Linked DNA regions of Macaca fascicularis. Each later gene encodes a partner of the first gene's protein in a complex. Links are inferred from orthologs where the notes say so. Each region holds a gene or a part of one and is shown on either strand. Other genes may lie near its edges.

Region 1 (3,500 bases):
AGTACTTAAATCCCATCATCCCCTTTATCTCATTAGAAACATAGGACTCAGAAAGGTTAAGTCGGCTGGGTGCAGTGGCTCATACCTGTAATCCCAGCACTTAGAGAGGCTGAGGCAGGAGAATCACTTGAGGTCAGGAGTTTGAGACCAGCCTGGCCAACATGGTGAAAACCTGTCTCTACTAAAAATACAAAAATTAGCCAGGTGTGGCCAGGACCGGTGGCTCACACCTGTAATCCTAGCACTTTGGGAGGCCGAGGACAGCGGATCACGAGGTCAGGAGTTCAAGACCAACCTGACCAACATGGTGAAACCCCATCTCTACTAAAAATACAAAAATTAGCCGGGTGTGGTGGCATGCGCCTGTAGTCCCAGCTACTCAGGAGGGTGAGGCAGGCAAATTACTTGAGGTGGAGGTTGCAGTGAGCAAGATTGCACCACTGCACTCCAGCCTGAGTCACAGAGTGAGACTCTGTCTCAAAAAAAAAAAAAAAAAAAAAAGCCAGATGTGGTGGTGTGCGCCCATAATCCTAACCCCAGCTACTCAGGAGACTGAGGCCCAAAAATTGCTTGAACCTGGGAGGCAGAGGCTGTAGTGAGTGAGATCACACCACTGCACTCCAGCCTGGGTGACAGAGCAAGACTCTGTCTCAAAAAAAGAAAAAAAAAAAAGTTAAGTAACTGGTCCAGGGAGCTCAGCTCATGGGATGATAATGGTTACCACTACTGGCTGCCCTCATAAATCAGAGAGTAGGCTGGTTACGGTGGCTCATGCCTGTAATCCCAGCACTTTGGGAGGCCGAGGTGGGCAGATCACGAGGTCAGGAGATCGAGACCATCCTGGCTAACACGGTGAAACCCTCTCTCTACTAAAAATACAAAAAATTAGCCAGGCATGGTGGCGGGTGCCTGTAGTCCTAGCTACTCGGGAGGCTGAGGCAGGAGAATGGCCTGAACCTAGGAAGCGGAGCTTGCAGTGAGCCGAGATTGTGCCACTGCACTCCAGCCTGGGCGACACAGCCAGACTCCATCTCAAAATAAATAAATAAATAAATAAAATAGGCCGGGCGCAGTGGCTCACGCCTGTAATCTCAGCACTTTGGGAGGCTGAGGCGGGCAGATCACAAGGTCAGGAGATTGAGACCATCCTGGTTAACACGGTGAAACCCCGTCTCTATAAAAATACAAAAAGTTAGCCGGGTGTGGTGGCGGGCGCCTGTAGTCCCACCTACTCAGGAGGCTGAGGCAGGAGAATGGCTCAGTGAACCCAGGAGGTGGAGCTTGCAGTGAGCCGAGATCGTGCCACTGCACTCCAGTCTGGGCGACAAGCGACACTTGGTCTCAAAAAAAAAAACAAATAAACAAATAAATAAATCAGAGAGTATACTGAGCTGCTTACACCATTCCTCTCAACAATAACACGAGAGGGATTATAACCCCACTTTATAGGTGAAGAAATAGAGAATCAGAGGCTAAATAATTCCCCCAAGTTTCCAAGTTCAATAAGAAAAACCAACAGTAATAATAAATCAATATGTAAATCAATCAGAGCTAGAATTTCAAGCCCATGCTGTCTGTTAACTTCAAATCCTTCACCTCAACTCTTCCTCCATGTTTCTCAGATCCCCACTGGCATCTAGAAGGGAAAGTTAATGGTGCTGCAATACAAGGAAAAAGTAAGACGGCCTTCTTGCAGATTCCCCCTCTATCAAAGTCCAAATGAGGACACTGCAGCAAAAAGGGTTGATATCGAGAGAGTAAAGCAACTGGGCAACACAGCTAGATCCTGTCTCTAAAAAATACAAATATTAGCTAGGCATGGTAGTGGACACCTACCCACTAGTCCCAGCTACTTGGGAGGCCGAGGTGGGAGGATCGCTTTAGCCCAGGAGGTAGAGGCTGCAGTGAACCATGATTGCACCACTGCATTCCAGCCTGGGTGACAGAGCAAGACCCTGACTTAAAAAAAAAAAAAAAAAGAAGAAGAAGAAAGGAAAGACCTCCCAACTGCCAAGTAGCTGGGTGGCACTGGAACAAAAAGCACAGAATTCTTTCAGTCCAAGGGTGGGAGGTCAATCAGGGTGGAGACAGGGGACTGGTCTGCATGACCCTAATAGTAGTAAATAATAGCTAACGTGTTGTATCAGACCATTTGCTAAGTGCTATACATTTATGTGATGTTGAAACACTTGACAATACCATGGAGCTTTACAGAGAAGGAAACTAAGACTCGGGTAGATTAAGTCACACAATCAGTAAGCCATGGAGCTGGGATTTAAACCCAAGCAGCCCGACTCCAGAGCACTCCTTTTAAACCATGCTGTCCCGGCCAGGGTCAGGCTCCTGCACCCACCTTGGGAGAGGTGATCTTGATGTAAACAATGATGGGGGCCAGCGAGGTCTTGGACAGCTGGGCTGGGTGATTGATGGTGTCAGCATCCAGAGCAACCAACTGAAGGGTCCGGGCCAGCTCGAAGATTCGCTCGATTTCACTCTGCACCTCAGCTGGGGGCACGGAGTCATGTGGATGGGGGAATGTCAGGTGGCCTCCCAGGAGGTAGTAGGTGGAGGGAACGCTTCTGGAGATGGCCCTGCCCACTAACTCCCACCCCTCCCACGTCCAGCCCAGAAAGGGTGAGTGAAGACAGCAGGGGTGGGCTCACCCAAGCTGGAGCGTGTGTTGGAGCGCTCAATGATGATGTGTTTGCTGGGGTTGTTGAGAACTGAGCGCTTAGCCAGAGAAATGTCTGCCGTCACACGAGTGATGGAGATCCTGGGGAATGGGGCAAGAGGGAAGTCAGGGATCAGAGTGGGCTGGAATGCCCTGCCCACTCCCCAGTTCCAGGCCCGCCTTCTGTTCCTCAGTCCCAGGACTGTGATTCGAGGCATCCGGCCCATCCCCAGCAGCAGAGAGCAATGGCAGGTGCGAGGAGCAGCTCCCAGGGTCTTACCTGCCATCAAACCGATGCTTCAAGAAGTCAAATAAAGCTTTCTGCATCATGTCTGTAACCTGGGGGTGGGGGTTTGTGGGGAGGGAAGGAGGAGAAGGTAGGCATTTAAAGCCACTCAGACTCTGAGCAGCTGGGTATTTGTACCCTCACGTTCCACTTTCTTCCGAACAGGACTTTATGGTGGGCAGGGGTCTGGGTCTGAGGGGTCTCCACTGGGGTCTCTGGTTCCAAAGGTCCCTGTAAGTGGCATCTCTGGGAGGACTTTTCTGGGGGTTCCTTTGGGGGACGGGGTTCCTCTGTGTGGGTCTTCCTGTGGGTTAGGCCCCCTGGGGGTTCTCTCTGAAGGTCTGTAGCCCTCCGGGGAGGATGCCTTGGGATCTAGGCCCTTCTAGGGGATCTCTCTGGGGTCTGAAGATCTTTCTAAGGCCCCTCTGCATCCACTCCCCTCTAGGGAGTCCTACCTCGTAGCCCTTGAGCGACGGTCCCACCAGGATGATGGGCCTCATGGAAGGCACCACGTCATAGGGGGGCACATGCTCTGTCTGGGGG
Region 2 (3,936 bases), about 13 Mb from region 1:
TCCTGATCATGCATCAGCCTCTCGGCTACACCCAAAAAGGGCCACCCAGTGAGCTGAGAAGGGAGAGATGGCACAACCCAGGAGAGACGTAGAGGCCGCAGCCTCGGGGACAGGCCTGGGGGCCAGGCAGGCGCACAGGACCCTCGGAGGGTGGTCGATCCCAGGCTTTCTGTGTTCTCTGCCATATCCGCACACCCATGAGCTCCTGATGATCCCCTATAAATCAACCTATTCGTTCTTTTTCACTCACACACATATTTTGCAAATTAAAACGTAACTGGAAAATCGTTATCACCTGCTGTTAGTAGAAGGCAAAACCAAACACAGTGCCCTGAAAACAGAACAACCAAGTCCAGCAGGATTCCTCGTCCTCTTCAGGCCGTTCTCGCTTTGTTTCAGAGGACACTTTGCGGGCAGTAATGACACTGACCTCGAACGGAGCTCTGCTCTGGACCCAGTTTTGGGGATGGAAAGAGAATTGAAAAGGAAGTAATGTTCTCGTGGAGGGATCAGAGTTGGGTAAGGCCAGGCCTGGGAACCACCTAAAATCTTCCTGTGGTTTGCGGGATGCTGTGGGGTTTGTGGCTAAAACGCTTGCCTGAGAGGTGGACTCCACAGGCCCCGGACAGGGTCCCTGGGATGTCCCTAGACAGAATCCTAGGCCCCCCAGATCCCAGGATGAGAACCTACTCACTGCCCCGCCGGTAGTAGGCTTACAATGTGGGAGCCCGGGACGGCCGTGCAGCCTGCAGCTCCTGGTCTCCTCCCCTGGCCTGGGGTGCCCTTTCCCATCAGCCCAGAGCAGACAGATCTCCACCCCTGGGGCCCTGCTGCCCACCCCTCGCCCCCTCCCAACTCAGGCACCCTGAGCTGCTACTCCATAGAGGCCTCAATCCACCATCCAGAGCCTTCTCTCCTTGCCCCGCCCCCCACTGGGGTATTTCTGGCTCCCAGAGGGGCAGACAGCGCTGAAACCCGAGCAGAAGCCGTCCCCGGTGCCACGCCTGGAGAGGGGCATTAATAGCAGCCTTCCTCAGGCCCCTGACGCGTCTGGGCAGCTGCTCAGCACATCCCGCGTCCCTCAGCCCCAGGGCCAGCCCACTCTGGCTCAGCCAGGCACACTAAACTTAGTGGCCACTCCCAACTCGACAACCACCGCCACCCCCCAGCTCGGCTGTCACCTGCCGGAGGAGACGCAGCCGCCAGACCCTGCCCAGGGCACCCACGCCTCGGCGACCACCATGTCCCAGACCAAAACGCTGAAGGTCCGCGTGACCCTCTTCTGCATCCTGGCAGGCATCGTGCTGGCCATGACGGCCGTGGTAACCGACCACTGGGCTGTGCTGAGCCCCCACATGGAGCACCACAACACCACCTGCGAGGCGGCCCACTTCGGCCTCTGGCGGATTTGTACCAAGCGCATCCCCATGGACGACAGCAAGACCTGCGGGCCCATCACCCTGCCCGGGGGTAACGTACCCACCCTCCGTCCCGATCCCCACCTCCCGCCCTTCCCCGTCGTCCCCCGGACAAATTTGCCCATGCCAAGGAAGGCAGGTTTCTCAGGCTAGAGATAGGGCAGCCGCCCAGCCCTTTCTGCCCAGGGAAGAAGATCTGAATTGCATGTGCTGTGCTGGTGGCTGGGGCTGGGTTGTAAGACGAGGGCGTTTGTCCCAGCTATTTCTGTCTGGCTGGACCCTGGGGCTTTTCGCCCAGAACAGAGAGCTGGGCAGGCTCAAGACGGGAACCGCAGCTCTACCAGCCCAGGGACTTCTGGGCTCCATCTGGTCACTCTCTCCCTGCAAAGACATGCTGGGTGGCTCTGTGTCCTCAGGCTGGGGGAAACCATGGAGCTGGCAGGTTTGTCCCTGGCCTCAAGGCAGGGGAGGAGAGAGGACAGGCGACGGAATATGCAGGGTCCTGTGCAAAATGAAAATGCAGGGTTCCTTGCTCCAAATTACCAAGGATTTCAAGGCAGCGATAGCAGCACATGAATCCAAGCATGGACCCTTGTGGGCCCTGGGCCTGGAGAAGCTGCACAGGTTGAATGCCTGTGAAGCAGGACGTGGCTGTGGGTGAGCCACCTGCCCCTACCTTTTTTTTTTTTTTTTTTTTTTTTTTGAGACAGAGTTTTGCTCTGTCGCCCAGGCTGGAATGCAGTGGTACAATCTTGGCTCACTGCAACCTCCGCCTCCTGGACTCAAGTGATTCTCCTGCCTTGGCTTCCCCAGTAGCTGGGATTACAGGCATGCGCCGCCACACCCATCTAAGTTTTGTACTTTCAGTACAGACGGGGTTTTGGCATGTTGACCAGGCTGGTCTTGAACCCCTGACCTCAGGTGATCCACCTGCCTTGGCCTCCCAAAGTGCTGGGATTACAGGCGTGAGCCACCGTGCCTGGCCTCCGCCCGCCCTTTTGTCAGGACGTCAGTCCATTATGCATCCTCCGTTAGCTCAGACCCTGTCAGAGTTACAAAGCATTTCCTCACCCTGTAATTTAAGCGTGTTCCTCGATTTCCTACCATGTGACCGAACCACATGTCGAAGGTAAGCTCCTTTTCAGGAGTACCTGGTAGTTGCATGACTAGCCTCTATTCTGCAAATGCCGAGGCTTCTGGATTCTTAGCAAATACAGCACTTTAGAGGAAAGGGTGCTACGTGGAGACCAGGCGGCCAGGGATCTAGTCACCATTGCCCATTACCCTCAAATGACCATCCAGCGAGGACAAAGATCATCTCAGCCTCTGCTTCTTCCTCTATAAAATATGGGACTGACTCTCAGCAATGTAAGATCCCTTCCCAGGTTTACAGACGCCCATCCACAGTGGCAGTGGAGCAGGGTTATGTCAGTGTGATGTCCCACCTGGTTTTCAGGATTATTCCCTCTTTTACCAGACTTTGGTGTTCCTTGAAACCTGTCCTTCAAGGACACTAGGGCTGAGTCCCCAAAGATCTTGCAGTCTGCATGTGAACCAAAGAGCCAACACCCCATCCTCCCATATCTCTGCTCCCTCTTCTTTCCCTGCTGCTTGCTCCAGAGATCCCCTCCCTCATTCACGCCCACTGGACGCCCAGAAGACTCGTAAGTGCCCAACTGTTATAGAAACACCGAGTCCCAGGGCTGAGGGTGACAGGTGTGGCCATGTGCTGGCAGGGTATCGCATAGCCCGGATGCCCATGCCCCTTGGCGACTGCCAAGCACACCCATAAACAGGCAATCCCTCCAGCCAACTCCCCTGGGCAGGGCAGGGCAGGGCAGCTTCTTCAGGGACCACGCATAGGGACGTGCTGTTACAGTCCTGTTCACCCGTCCTTGGAACCATCTGCCTTTTAAAGTCAGAGCAGAGGACTGGGCAGTGAGCAGAGTCCACACAAGGAAGAGACAGGCTGGTGAGAGGTGACTAGACCAATTACAGGGGACCAACAGGCATTGCTTGTTGGACCAACAGGCCTTGAGCCTCACCAGGATCTACCTCTTTGCCTTCTTAGCCTAACCAGCTATGAACCATACTTCCCACACTTGTGACACTGAGCACTACCTTTCTCCCAGTCATCTTCCAAAGTATGTTCCTACCTTTTTCCCTCTCTTTTCTCTGCAAATGGACATCTTTCTCCTTCCCCATATGCCCTTCTTGTGCCCCCTGGGACCATTCTTGTCTGGAGGGAGGAAGCGGGTTGATATGTGGCCTCTCATTTATTATTAACAACAACAACAATAATAATGGCACATACATGTAACCCTATGTGCCGAATATTGTTGTAAATGCTTTACGTGTATCAACTTTGAATGACATCACGAAAAAGATGATAGAGAAAAAGAACTTCCAAAAATCTTCTTCTCCATAAAAGCAATGAGAAGGCTGGTGGAAATGGTCAGAATCAACATTTTCAGAACTCTGGAAATTAACCAAAGTCCAGCAAGAAAAATGGGTGAAT

What was found. Proteins that work in one complex are often made in the same cells at the same time.
Region 2: CACNB1 (region 1) and CACNG1 share a complex: the UniProt entries of both Homo sapiens proteins name them as parts of the calcium channel complex. The link is inferred for Macaca fascicularis from reciprocal best matches to the Homo sapiens genes CACNB1 and CACNG1.

The regions. Positions count from the first base shown.
Region 1 is NC_088390.1:60,213,037-60,216,536, forward strand, and holds part of CACNB1 (voltage-dependent L-type calcium channel subunit beta-1), read right to left. Parts: intron 3,494-3,500; coding exon 3,413-3,493; intron 3,011-3,412; coding exon 2,952-3,010; intron 2,774-2,951; coding exon 2,664-2,773; intron 2,506-2,663; coding exon 2,354-2,505; intron 1-2,353. UniProt on the Homo sapiens protein: Regulatory subunit of L-type calcium channels. Regulates the activity of L-type calcium channels that contain CACNA1A as pore-forming subunit.
Region 2 is NC_088390.1:73,474,212-73,478,147, forward strand, and holds the start of CACNG1 (voltage-dependent calcium channel gamma-1 subunit), read left to right. Parts: upstream 1-1,136; 5' UTR 1,137-1,241; coding exon 1,242-1,470; intron 1,471-3,936. UniProt on the Homo sapiens protein: Regulatory subunit of the voltage-gated calcium channel that gives rise to L-type calcium currents in skeletal muscle. Regulates channel inactivation kinetics.